Drosophila melanogaster: one gene and its partners. The protein of the gene in region 1 interacts with the protein of each later gene in a pairwise test. Each region holds a gene or a part of one and is shown on either strand. Other genes may lie near its edges.

Region 1 (5,038 bases):
GCACTTTGTGTGTGCTGCATTTGAGTTGCGACTTTGCCGCCCTGCCACATGCATCATGAATCACGCAAATTCGCGGCACGCAAAGACAATGACGCCAGCCCCTTTTCGCACCACTCGCTGGGTGTCGAGGACGCACAACTCCGGCGTTTGTAATCAGGGTCGTCAACGCGAAACTATAGTTATAATACGTAGATAGAACAAAAGGAACGTACCCTCCACTGGCATTTCCAAGGAAACTTTGCTCGTAAAAGCCGGAATAACAGTTAGCATTCATGCCGCCCTTTAAGTTTTGTGGCATTTAGTCAGGTGCCCAAAGACGGGGGAATCGGAATTTGGATACCGGCAGTGGAGTGCCGACAGCCGTTTGACAGTAAAACTCTGGCCTTGGGCGCATCTATTAAAATTTATATGCAACCGAAACTGGAACTGGACGCCAAACGGACAAGATACACACTGTGCGAAAATGTGACAGCCTCCCATAACCCGCAATGTAACTAAATATTCACTTAACTACTATTAAGTGGGATAGAAGGCAAATGAAATGACTAATCCATATGCACAGCGGAAATTATTATATTTTAGTATTTGCAATTTAAGATGTAGTACTAAATACTGAAGCATCGTTCTTAACACTTTTCGAAACTATAATCTTTCTCATGTAGCGAAGATACCTCTTTACCTGTGATGCTGATATCAGCTTGAGTGGAAAGTGAAAACATTTTTTCTCAGTGCCTTTTAGTTGAAGCACTTTCCGCGGACGGCGGTGTTGACAAACTGCTCGCAGAGTTTTTGGCTTTCGCTTGGCTTTGGCGACTTGGCGCCTCGTCCTTGGCATGAAGTTCGCCGCTGGCCTTTAATTAGCTTTTCTCGGATTACTCATACGCCATGGGGGCTGGGCTCGGGTCGAGTGGAGTGGAGTGGAGCTGGGCTCCATTGTTTCAGCACTGGCATGCGGATGTGGTTGGTCAAACGTGCATGTCGGGCACGTGTTTTGCTTTGGCTTGAAATTGGTGGTTGGGTTCGGATCGCATCGGATGGGGTTAAAGTTAAAGCGAGCGTTCTTAATGTCAGGGTCAATGCAGAATACGGGGGTCCTGCATGTGTGGAATCGACGGCCATCTTACTCGTCCCAATATTGGCGGCATGCATATAATACCCACTGACGGTGCATAAATCAAAATATATACAAAAAAAAAAATACAAGCGGGCAAAACAATGTGTGTGTTTTGTTGCTCGAGAGATACAATACAATATTTATTCAAAAGCAATTGGCCGGGCGCTTCTGTCGCCGACAGCTGCACAAAACTCGGGGGACACTTTTGACACACACACGTGGCCAGGGCGACCTTATAGTACATAATGAGTTTGCTGGGTATGCAGAGGAGCAAAGTGGCCTTGCCACTGGCAATTAGAGTTATTTTCACTAGCAATAGGGGACATGTCGGTGCTGCAACGTGCCCGCAAAATGGACAAAAACATGTGCATGAATAATACAGGTGAATGTTATGGACATTTGCCACCATTGGGGCTCGTGAAATGGTCGACTAAATCAAATATATTATAATTTGTGGGTACCAAAGGTATAAGCTTGAGGTACTAGCCAAACAATTTCTAAAAACTAATATTTTGCATTTTTAAATCTTAACTAAAATATAGTGAAATTTGATTATCCTCTTTTCTTATAGACCTCAACTAGGCGACTGTATACTTAGTGATTAAGTAAATACTTAGGTTTTTGGGCAATTCAACTTATTATATAGTTGATGGTTATCGTTAATCGAAATTTCAATACAATGCAATTTCCCGCCAAATAAAAGTGTGACCATTAGTTTATATTAAACGAAATTCCTAACATTCTTTTGCGCGCTTTGGTATTTTGCACCAATGCATTGAGTCCATCAGCTGTTTATTTAATTTCAAAACTGAATCTATAACGAAGTAAATAATTGAAAATGAGCACTTTTAAGCCAAAGTTCCTAAAACCCGAGACGGACGATGCAATCACAGATAGTGCCGGTGGTGAACAGCAGTCCTCCGCCTTTGTATTCAATGTCAATCACAATATGGGACTCATGGAGCAGGTGGGCTTACAAAATATTTCGTAAACATTTGCTAGAATAACAAATTAAACTTAAATTATTACAGAGGGAACGTTTGCCCATTCGTCAGTACCGGGATCAAATACTTTACTGCTTGGAAAAGCATCAAGTGGTCATACTAGTGGGTGAAACAGGCAGGTTTGTATGGAATTCCATGAGCTTCAAAGTAATGCTTCTAACTCTGTGGTTTTTCATATTTCCCAGTGGCAAGAGCACCCAGGTGCCACAGTATTTGTATGAATGGGGCTGGCACACCAAGGGACTCATTGGCATCACCGAACCACGACGCGTTTCCACCGTAAGTAATCCTAAAGCAAAGCAACTATAAAATCTAAAACTAAAGACTTCATTTCCAGGTTACGCTGGCTAATCGCGTGGCACAGGAACGCGGCGAACTGGTAGGTGACACGGTGGGCTATGTAGTTCGCTTCCTGGAAAGCATGAGCTCCTGTACCAAAATCAAGTTCATGACCGAGGGCATCTTGCTGAGGGAAGTCCTAGCCGATCCGCTGCTCACCCAATATGGTGTTATCATCGTGGACGAGGCGCACGAGCGGAATATGCTCACCGACATGATTTTGGGACTGCTCAAGAAGATCCTTCGCAAACGCAGCTCGCTCAAGCTCATCATTTCATCGGCCACCATAGATGCAAGCTTCTTCAGCGAGTTCTTCAGCTGGCCAGGATCGGGCGAAGTGAGCGTTAAGCTAAGCATTGAAGGTCGCATGCATCCTGTGAGTAATTTCTATCTGAACGAACCCTGCGCCGATTATGTGAAGGAAACTGTGGAGACCGTCTGGAAACTGCATCAAAAGGAGCCGCCTGGCGACATTTTGGCCTTCCTAACTGGCCAGGAGGAAGTCCTGGAGGCGCTGGATCTTCTGCGCGAATACATCGCCAGTTCGGAACAGGAGAATCTCAAGGTGCTGCCCATGTATGGTAGTATGTCGAGCACTGATCAGTTGTCGGTATTCTTTACCCCGCCCAAAGGAACCCGCAAAGTGGTGCTGGCCACGAATATAGCAGAGACCTCCATCACCATTCCGGGCATTGTTTATGTGATAGACTGCGGCTACGTCAAGGTAAAATGGTACAATCCCAAAACCTGCAGTGACAGTTTGGTTATAGTGCCCGTCAGCAAGGCGTCGGCCATCCAGAGAGCAGGACGAGCGGGTCGTATGCGTCCCGGCAAGGTCTATCGTTTGTACACTAAATCAGACTATGAAGCACTAGCTCCTCGGCAGCCACCCGAAATGCGACGCAGCGAATTGAGCGGCGCTATCTTGCAGTTAAAGGCGCTGGGCATCGGGAACATATTGCGCTTTGATTTCCCATCGCCACCACCGGCACAGAATCTACTTTCCGCACTGGAGAGTCTATTTGCCTTGGACGCCATCGATGAGCAGGGCAATCTGACGAAGCCCGTGGGTTACCTGTTGGCCGAACTCCCCTTCAGCGCTATGCTCTCCAAAATGCTCTATGTTTCCGGTCAGATGGGCTGCTCCGAGGAGATCATAACCATCATTGCGTTGCTGCAGGTGCAGTCTATATTTTCGCGCCCAGCTTCAGCGGTTGCCCAACAAAGTGGACGCATTGCACATCGAAAATTCGAAGTTGCGGAAGGGGACTTTATTACGATGTTGAACGCTTACACTGGCTTCGTGGAGGAGGGCATGACCAAGGAGTTCTGTGGCCAATACTTCCTCATCTACAGGAATCTTAAGAGGGCCCACTCGCTGAGGGAGCAACTCATCACAGTGGCCAGAAAGAAGTACGGCATTCCAATCTTCTCGTGCAAGGGCGATGTGGAAAAGTTGTGCAAGTGCATCACCGCCGGCTTCTTCACACAGGTGGCCTATCTGCATCACTCTGGAGTTTATAGACAAATCAGCAGCGGCACTGAACTGGCCATTCATCCGAACTCCACTCTCTACACACTTCCTCAAGCTCAGTACGTGGTCTATGGGGAACTGCTCCAAACGACGAAATTGTTCATGAACTACGTGACCGTAATCAAGAGAGAGTGGCTGACGGAGCTGGCGCCGCATTATTACCAACAGACCACAGTGCGGGATTAGCAGGAACTAAAGCCTTAATGATAGGTGTAAGTCTATTAAAATAGTTCATTAAATCAAATAACTAAGTTTATTGTAAAATTATAGGTGAAACGATGCCGCCTCTTGAAAAAGAACTTAAGCTTAGGTAATGGATTCCATATGATGATTCCTATTGTGTGTTTAACCAGCGGCGACGCGCCCTCGTCCCTGAAACATCATCATAGACTCGGGTCCACGGATGACACGCGACATCAGCTCCCAGCACATTTTGGCGGGCAAAAGACTGAGAAAACCAGCATTAATTACATTGTATATAACTATGTTAAATAGACTACTTACCATTTGAGAGGAGTGAGCAGGCGAATAGAGTTGGGCAGCACGCACCACACCTCGTTGCAGCGCACGGCGTTCTCGATGCGATCCGCCACATACTGCGGCTCCAGCATGGGCATCATCCGCGGCCGAACACCCGAAAACATGCCCGTGTTGATGTAGTACGGGCAGATCAAACTCATTTGGATTTGATCATAGCCATGGGCCTTCAGATCGGTGAGCAAACTCTCGTGGAAACCGATGCAGGCGTATTTGGTGGCCGCGTAGTCACTGCATCCGTAGGTGCCCAGCATTCCAGTTACCGAGCCCACAGTAACGATATGACCACGATTATTGCGCATCATGTGAGGCAGAAACGCTTTCACGGTCCAGTAGTGCGATATGATGTTAATGTTGTACGTGTTCTGGATGACCCGATCGTGCAGCTCCCAGAAGGGTTTGCAGCACACGATACCGGCATTGTTAATCAATATGTCGACGGGACCAACCTCCTCGGTCACCTGGCTGGCACGCTGGTAGATCTGCTCCCGATCTGAGATGTCCACAACG
Region 2 (5,010 bases), on another chromosome or scaffold:
CTTCGACTTCTTTTGCTAATGCTATTGCTAATATATCTCCATTTAATAAGTATGTATATGTATGTATGCTGGATGTAGGCAGTGAATTATTAAATAAGTAGCCGGAAACTCCATCACTCCATCTATCCATCCATCCGACTTGCCATCAGCCCTTCTTACCAGCCGAATATCAGGTCCATGGCCTTGTCCATCAGACCGGAGCTCTTTTGCGGCACATCCTTCTGCGGCGATATGATGTTATCTTTGCGGGCCAGCTTGTACGACTGCTGGGAAAACGGTCGAATCGCACTGGGGCTGGTGGGGGGATCTCCTATCTCTGCATTGGGCACAGAGCCGATGTTCTCCTTATCGATCACCGACCTATCCGTGCAGCGCGACACGCCCACCATCACATTGCCGGCGATGATTTTTTCGTTGTAGTTCAGCGCCTTGTCGCTCTCGATGCGCGAGGAGTAGCGCACATACATCCAGTTGCCGTTCTGCGGGGCATGCACCACGTCCACAATGGTGCCGCAGACGGTGAAGTGCTGCAGCACCATGGAGCCGGCCCCCGGCGGGAACCCGAAGATGGTAACCCAAAAGTCGGATAGGCGCGAGTTGCCGCCCGTCGTCACGGATGTGCCCAGGCCTCCAGCTGGCGAGGCAGTGGCTCCAAGTGGCGAGCACAGTGCTCGCATCGAGGCATTGATGGCATTGGGCGCCCCGGGTGCGAACGAGTCATTCGTGTGATAGCTGCTCTGGTAGCTCTGGTTCGGTGACTGCAACTGCAGCATGCCAAGATGGTTCTTCTTCTTCGGGGTGACGGACTGTTCGCGCAGCGAGTCGAAGAGTCCCTGGGTGGGCGGTCCCGTCTGGTGGTGGCTGTGCGTCTGGCCGTGCGCGGTCGTTGAGCTGTTGGCGCCCACAGCCGTGTGGGCGCCTCCTTGGGCGGCGAACAGAGTGCGTGTGCTCAGAGCGGAGCGGTTGAGCTCGTGCGGACTGCTGCCGCCGGGCGAGGTGGCTGCGGGGCATGTGTTCATATAGCCAATGCGTACGAGCTGCTTGATGCCGGCTACTTACCGAAACTTATATTAGAGCGCCCGGTTTTCGGGGACAGCGTGTTCTTGTGCGGCGTTATACCTTGCGGATCGCCGAGCAGAAAAGGTGGCAGATACTGGGTCTGGTTGGAGCCAGGACTGTTGACCGGGCTGCCCAGATTCATTGGCTCCATATCGAATGCGAATATTAATTATAATAATTATAACGGCGAAAAACGAAAAAGCGTTGCATTAACAAGGACGCCACAGCTGTAATCGGTTAGTGCGACCAGGCTGGGCTGGGGTCGAAATGCTAGAGGTGGATGCCAACATCGATGTCATCGATGTTTTCGAAAAATCACAAACATCGATGTTTTTCAAAGAATCATCGATGTTTTTCCATCTTTACTGCGCATCGTAGGTTAAAAGTGTTTAAATTGTGAGTATAAATTAAATTTCCAAATTTTCCAATTTCCATTTATTAATAGCATATTGCAAATTTTCAGTGACTTGCTGGTGGTCTTGGCTGGCGTCGTGGAAGACGACACGTATATTTATGCATGTATGCATGCGTGCACCTGCTCGTATGCATACTGGCTTACTTTTCTATTGAATTACTTTTCTATTGAATTGCATTAATTAGTATATTTGATTTATAGGAGCAATTATTGGACCAGGGGCGGATAAAAACGTAGACGGCAATAAGCTTGTCATGTTTAGTTATAGTACTGCCTTTTTATTTAAGCAATTATAAAAAAATAATAATCTTTAAGTTAAGCAGTTAATTTTTTTGTTTTTATTGAAAACATCGATGTCCGCCAACATCGATTTCTCCACCTCTACTAAATACGCCGTTCTTCGCAGTCGCGCCGCGCAACTTGCACTTTTGCAGCTCCCCGACTGGCAGTGGGCACATTTCGTTTCCCCCAAACGGTCACTCTAGCGGCCACCTTTCAAACAACAACATCACGCGTCGCGTCTCCGTCTTTTTCCTTTTTTTTTTTACATTAGACTACACTACGTTCTCCTGGCGTTTCGTTCGTGTCGCGCGTGATTAAATTGGCAACTGAGAACAATAAGAAGAAATCACAGTGTGCGAGCAGCAACAAACACAACGATTAGTGTAAACAAAACACATCGACAACAACAATCCAAATTACAATATAGGCAAAGAAGAAGAAACGAAAGGCAGGACCTTCGCAGCAAGAGCGAGACAGCAAAGGATCGGGATCGGGAGAGAGCGTGAGAGTGCGACTTGATCAACGGGATACAGGGTGACATGTGGAGTCCGACGCACTGTAGTGTAACGGGTAAGTGGGGGCGAAAAGCGGGGGACACCCGTTTTAGTATTTGTGTTTTTTTTTTATTTTTTTTTTACGGCGAATAAATCGCATTAAAACTTAAACTCGTTTGTGCCGCGTGTGTATGGGTGTGTGGCCTGCGCCGTTGTGTTGGTGTGTGCTTAAAATATTGTCATGACGGTCGTGTTGTTCCTATTGCTTTTGCTGCAGACGTACCAATTCGAAATTTCACTTTTTCCCCACCGCGCGCTTCCTCCTTTTGCCATTGCCTCTTGCTCTTCCTCTTGTGTTTTCCTGACTCCAGCAATTGCCTTTTTATCAGGCTTTTCTGGCTGATAAGATAATTCCCTTGCTCGAATGCGCACTTACTCATCGCATTGCTAGAAAATTGCTCATGCTAAGCGCTCCCCTTATGTATTTGCATCGCCTTCCGCCCCTTGGCATTCCTTAGCATACGCCCATGGTGGCGCTTTTTTGGTGCCTCTTGTTTACCTTTGCCATTGTTTTCGTTTTGCGTTTTCTTCAGGGCTAAGTGTCAATGAGAAATCGCGAATTCCGATTCCAAATTCGTGACAAAACACAAAGCGCGCTCATTCTGCTGTTCCCAGTCCAGTGATTATGGAAACAAATAATAACTGAAAGCCAAAGCATAGATATTTTCATATCTCCAACATGGCCAATAAGACCCTTTAAGAAATGTTTTCCGCAATGTTAGTTATTGGTTGCAATAGTGGCCACTGGGCGGCCAAATGAGTAAATGAGTCACGAATTGTGGTTCAATCTAGAGCTGCGTGGAATTTACACAAATCAAGATGATAAATACACTGGGCTCCATTGACATGAACGGATCCAGCTTGTTGTGATCTTGAACTTGCCCCGCTATCAGTTAGTACGTTCTTTGCCTCAATTCGCTCGTTTCATTTATTTTGCATATTTGCACAGCGCACAGTGTTTTATTCCAGCAATTTGCGATTAAAACCCAGAGCCGTTGACGTCACGGCGAATGAGCAAACAAATCATCGCCGTGTGGCTCTCCCAAATTCGCCGAGTTTCGCCTTGTTTGTTAAGTTCATATGTACATATATACAAATGTACACGCACATAAATACACCTGTCAATATTTGCCAATTTCTTTGCGATGAGAATGAGATGAGCGCGCACGCTTTGGAAACAGCTGTTTTCGCTGCTGTTCTCAGGAGCACTCTGTTCCCTATCCTTTGAAATGCCATAGTGTTCCCACACAGAGAGAAATTGCGACTCAAAAGGATTCGTTTTTTTTTTTGTTGTCTCTTTTCAAAACGAAATACAAAACTATTAACTTATATATAGAATAGGCAATTCTGGACTGAAATATTTAAATTAAAGGCCATGTTTTTTTTTTTTTTTAATTATTGCACAGCTGCAGGCTTTGAATTCTACTTACCAGATTTGCTAGTTAAATTAAGAATTCATCTGAGTTTACCATGTTTACATGCATGTTTGCATGCCAGAGAATTTCTTTCACTGTGCTTTTTTCGTTTCCCCTGTTAGATCATCCAGCAAACACCTGGCGTCCCGCCCTCTTATTAATGGCTTGTTGTTTGGGGACCATTTAGTCTGGGAGAGTTCCTTATCGACTGCGAACTCCACCCAATTGGCCCATTGCGTGCCTTATTTTTAGCCGTAAATTCTTGGCCGCCACTTACTCACTCACTCACTCCACTCACTTACTCGGCTACTTACTCCAACTCGCACATCTACGGACACACCTACTGAATAAATGCCTAAAATACCTGAAAATGAAAATTCCTCAGCGGGAAATTGTGCAATGAGCGGCGGGCAGCCAAGCAGACCCAAACAAAACAAACGCCTAATTTTCCTTTTCATTTCCATTTTGGTTTTTGGTTTATGTTTGGCTTGCTTTTGCAACGCATTTTATGCGGTTGCAGTGAAAATCAGAGCGGACCAGACCGCCCTTTTTTTTATCGATAATGAATGGTGGCGGCACAGTGAATACCTGCTAACGCGGAAGCCAGGTACCAGGTACTATATAACAAACCTATATTTCTTGTATTTATACTGCTAAAAATACAATGGAACCGTGTGATACATACGTAGTAATCTGTTACACTTCTGAACCTTTTAAGCAAGATATTGTGTCGTTCGACTAAAAGATAGATATTCTAATTAAATTGAAAAATGATCTTTATGGCAGCTTCTACTGTATTTCCCCTACTATCACCGAATCGATAAGGAAATCAGTGCGATAAGAGCTGGAGCTGTTGCTAGAACTGTAGCTGGAGCTGGATCACCTCTGGTCACGTCAGCGGGCAGATGGCGTCTTGAGATTGTGTCCACTTCTTCCGCACCCTGCCCGGCGATGCCATCGTCCATGTGAGACCGTTTTAATGCGGCTCCATCGATGCACTTATGCGAAACAGTTACGTTCCATTGCTCGACCCATTTAGCCAGAATAGAACCAAACAAACCGAAGCGGATCGGATGGGATCGGGATGGGTCCGGGGTTTGGTCTTATGATCATGATGGAAGGGGGAGGGGAGGGGAGGGGATAGTGAAGAAAAACAGGTCTGGCATTGGATGGGATCGCTGGCCGAAAGTCTCTTCGCATCGCGGGTCTGCAATTGATTATTTTCCAGTTCCAGTTCTTGGCCAGTGGCCACATTCCTCCGGCGCTTGCCGAACCCCAGTCCCCA
Region 3 (3,475 bases), on another chromosome or scaffold:
TTTGGGCTTAGAACAAATTGTGGGGATTCTCCAAAAGCGGGCCACACAACAACCGATCGTTGATTGAATTAAAGTAATGGGCTCTTCACTTGCTATTTGCGAAACCGAAAACAAAACGAAAACACACAAATTGCAGATACAAGTATCTCGCGCTTCGCTGATTTTCCAGTTTCTCCCGTGCAAATCACCTTCGCACCGTTACTTCTAATTGCGGCAAATGGAAAACACTCTCGTCTCACATATACGACTGCACTTGCAGATACACTTGTGTATTTTCAGATATAATTTTTGATATTTTTCCTGCCGATATTTTTATTTCCTTTTTTTTTTCTTGACGGGTAGGGGGCGGTACACTGGCACACACACGCTCATTCGCAGGAACAGCTCGAGCGCTCCAGGAACGACATATCCAGCGCGCGTCTCAGAGTGAACTGACTTACTTGAAAGACACTCAAGTCGGAAGACCCGAGCACGAAGTCACCTCATACACAAATAATGGGGGGATTCGAATACAAGTTCTCTCTCTCTCTCTCGGTGCTCACAGTATTACATCCGATGCGAAGATCGCTGAGAGTTGCATAGTATGCTCATTCCAAGGCGTTCGATCTCCAACATGGTATGTTTGTATCTTCTATGCATGCAACAAGTGGAACCAACTGCAACTCCTAGCAGTCGTGGGTGCATGATCGACAGCACCACCAGGTTGAAATGATGACCCATTCGTAGTACATCTCGACTGGATAAGAGAAAAATATTATTTTAATTAAAAATCGAACGTGAATAGAATTTATGTACTTTTTAAGTCCACTACGTTTTGTTGCTTGTTTGTGTTATATGTTGTGTGTGTGTTATAGAAAGAAGTTCTCGATAGTTAATGTATTAATCTACTTCTCTATCTTCTTTTGTTTTCAGATCCAAAAGAAATTCAAAATTTTTTCACCAACTTACGTATGCTAAGAAAACCGCCCAGAAGGAGGTGCAGAGGGTCCCACAAGAGGATGTAGAAGAGCACCACAAGTGCGATGAGGAGCCCCAGGGCCGCAATACCTATAAAAAAGGACAAGAGCATGGCCCAGCACATGTCCTGTAGAACAGCGATTGGATATCTTTACAAATTTAAGGATAAAAGTATTCACTTACCCACATCGTTCCGAGGAGAAGAAGAATTTTAGCTAGGGCTTGGACAATGCCAAAGACCATTGCCATGACCACAAGCACTGTTTCCGGATTGCCCTTGATCATCTCGAATAGACCCACAGAAAAGACCATTAAAGCTAGAAGCATCCCCGTGAAGCCGATGAAGATGCAGCCAATGTAAAGCGACAAATAGCCGCAAAACAAGCGCAGACACATTTCGATGTTTCCTCTAAGTTTTGACTAGAAATCACAAGCACATATTTCACTGGAATTTTGAATTTAAACTTTGGGTATCAGACTGGGCACTGCTTACATGTAGACATCAAAAAAGATATTGGTTGTAAGGAATTATAATGCAAATTAGACAATTGATCAGATTATTGAGCTGATTAGATTAAGTATTAGGGAATGTATATCAAAAGTAGGAAATATTTGAAACAGCTCCCAAGCTAAATAGCTTTAAAGACTTTTAAACGTATAATCTTTCACTAAATTATTTTTAAATGCATATTTTAAATAGAAGACATTTTTCAAAGTTGGCGCTTAATATCCAAACAGCTGTTTCAACGCCAGCGCTTGGCACTTATCGATAACCTATTTCAATCGATTCCAATTGGCATTCTTCTAATTGAAGAATTAAGTAAATAATGGATATATCCGCGCCACCAAACAAACGTGCTCGAAAATCACCCAATCTGGATGAAGACATAACTGGGATCCGGGCCATCCTCTCCGATGAGTTCGACGAGGATATTGCGCTCATCAAGGCGCACAGTTGCGAGTTGGAGACGAAACAGCAGCTCCAGGCGGTCATCCAGGAGCTCTCACAGAAATTGCCCCACTTTCAACACCTAAAGCGCGTCCAGGATCGCAGCGTGCTCATATGTCCCAGCTCAGAGATCGGAGTGTCTCAAAGCCTGGAACAACACCTTGAACAGTTTGCCTTTTCGGAGCACGTGCTCCGTGCTTTGTGCCAGGGAGTCCGGGTGGTGGAGGTGCCGGAACGGATGCCCCGACTGCGGGTGCAGTACGAGAAGACCCTTAAGCACTGGCCCTGCAAGTTTCACCCTAATCACTACTCGGAGTCACTGAGGAATGGCAGCAACTTTAGCTCCGCACAACGCACATTTCACAAAAGGATCGGGCAATTGCTTGTGAGGCTCTCGCGGGATGTCAATGCCAATCGTCCGGTGGGCATCTGCGTGGATCCGCGACAACCCAGCATTGTGTCCATTGCTGGAACTGGTGAAGTTTGTAGGCCGCACGAGCACTGCTGCATGATGCTCGTCGATTTTGTGGCTCGCAGTCAAGAAGGAGGCGCCACAAAAACGGAGGTTACATTCACCGAAGATTTCAAGAAGGATACCACTCTGCGGGGTATTCCTAAAGCCTACTACGATTACCTGATGAACAATGAAGACTACAAAGACCTGACATTCGGAGCGGAAAAGTCGAGAGAATGCAAAGAAGTGGACGCAGTTCAAGGAGCAGATAACCTGGCCAAATTCGGACCCTATCTGTGCACCGGCTACGATATCTATCTGCTGCAGGAACCCTGCCTTATGTGCTCCATGGCCCTGGTACATAGCAGGGCGAAAAGAGTATTTTTCGTTAAGAACTCTGAAAACGGAGCTCTAGCCACGAGATTCCAACTGCATTCGGTGCGGGAACTCAACCATCACTACGAAGTGTTCCAGTTCACAACCAAGGAGGATGAAGACTTGACGTAACGTTTAACAAACCTTGGTTTTAATAAAGGATTTATAGGATATCTTCGATTTTCGGCGTTGTTTTGGCCGTCGACTGGCGGGTGGGCGTGGACAGGAGACCCAGCAAATGGCAATCTGCCTCTAGAATGGTAATATCCTTGGACGAACCCAGAAACTTGGTGGACAACTCCAAGTCCTTGATGCGCAGTCGAACACGGGCTCCTCGCACATAGTCGCTGAAGTAGGAAAGGCGGTTTATTGGATAAAGAGACAGGAAATTATATTGAACTCACCTGGCATTGCGTGTTGGACGACTGCAGACGCAGTGAAACTTCCAACCAAAGTCTATGTAGAGATCATCGCCCACCACATGAAAGATCTTGCCACTGACCACCTTGCCCTCGGCGTTGTCCAGCTGCTCCAGAAATCAACAAGTTATTACATAAACAATGGGATTACTTAAATAATGTACCCACATCAATTAATTTGGAGTTGCGCAGCAGGGAGGCGAAGGTCTGGTTGTCTTCCGGCAGCTGTGGAGGCGTGGCTGGTGCCGTGTACTTGTCGAAGGCACGGGCGAATCCTCCCTTGCTGCTGCCAATCTCCGCCGTTTCCGTATTCACTGCGGG

Evidence for each region.
Region 2: the proteins of CG3225 (region 1) and Rip11 interact in a two-hybrid assay, tested with the Drosophila melanogaster proteins (one large-scale study listed by BioGRID).
Region 3: the proteins of CG3225 (region 1) and CG10927 interact in a two-hybrid assay, tested with the Drosophila melanogaster proteins (one large-scale study listed by BioGRID).

The regions. Positions count from the first base shown.
Region 1 is NT_033779.5:4,815,081-4,820,118, reverse strand, and holds CG3225 (uncharacterized protein), read left to right. Parts: upstream 1-1,873; 5' UTR 1,874-1,952; coding exon 1,953-2,081; intron 2,082-2,145; coding exon 2,146-2,237; exon of another isoform or gene 2,238-2,303; coding exon 2,304-2,397; intron 2,398-2,455; coding exon 2,456-4,177; 3' UTR 4,178-4,203; intron 4,204-4,227; exon of another isoform or gene 4,228-4,261; 3' UTR 4,262-4,336; coding exon of another isoform or gene 4,337-4,439; 3' UTR 4,440-4,495; downstream 4,496-5,038. Other genes in the region: CG15629 (uncharacterized protein), read right to left, coding at 4,337-4,439, 4,496-5,038.
Region 2 is NC_004354.4:18,644,506-18,649,515, reverse strand, and holds the start of Rip11 (Rab11 interacting protein), read left to right. Parts: upstream 1-1,948; 5' UTR 1,949-2,295; coding exon 2,296-2,326; intron 2,327-5,010. Other genes in the region: Nup35 (nucleoporin 35kDa), read right to left, coding at 156-1,000, 1,060-1,210.
Region 3 is NT_033778.4:18,611,343-18,614,817, forward strand, and holds CG10927 (uncharacterized protein), read left to right. Parts: upstream 1-1,747; 5' UTR 1,748-1,784; coding exon 1,785-2,867; 3' UTR 2,868-2,898; downstream 2,899-3,475. Other genes in the region: CG42697 (uncharacterized protein), read right to left, coding at 666-736, 949-1,084, 1,141-1,353; mRpS28 (mitochondrial ribosomal protein S28), read right to left, coding at 2,899-3,082, 3,140-3,261, 3,323-3,475.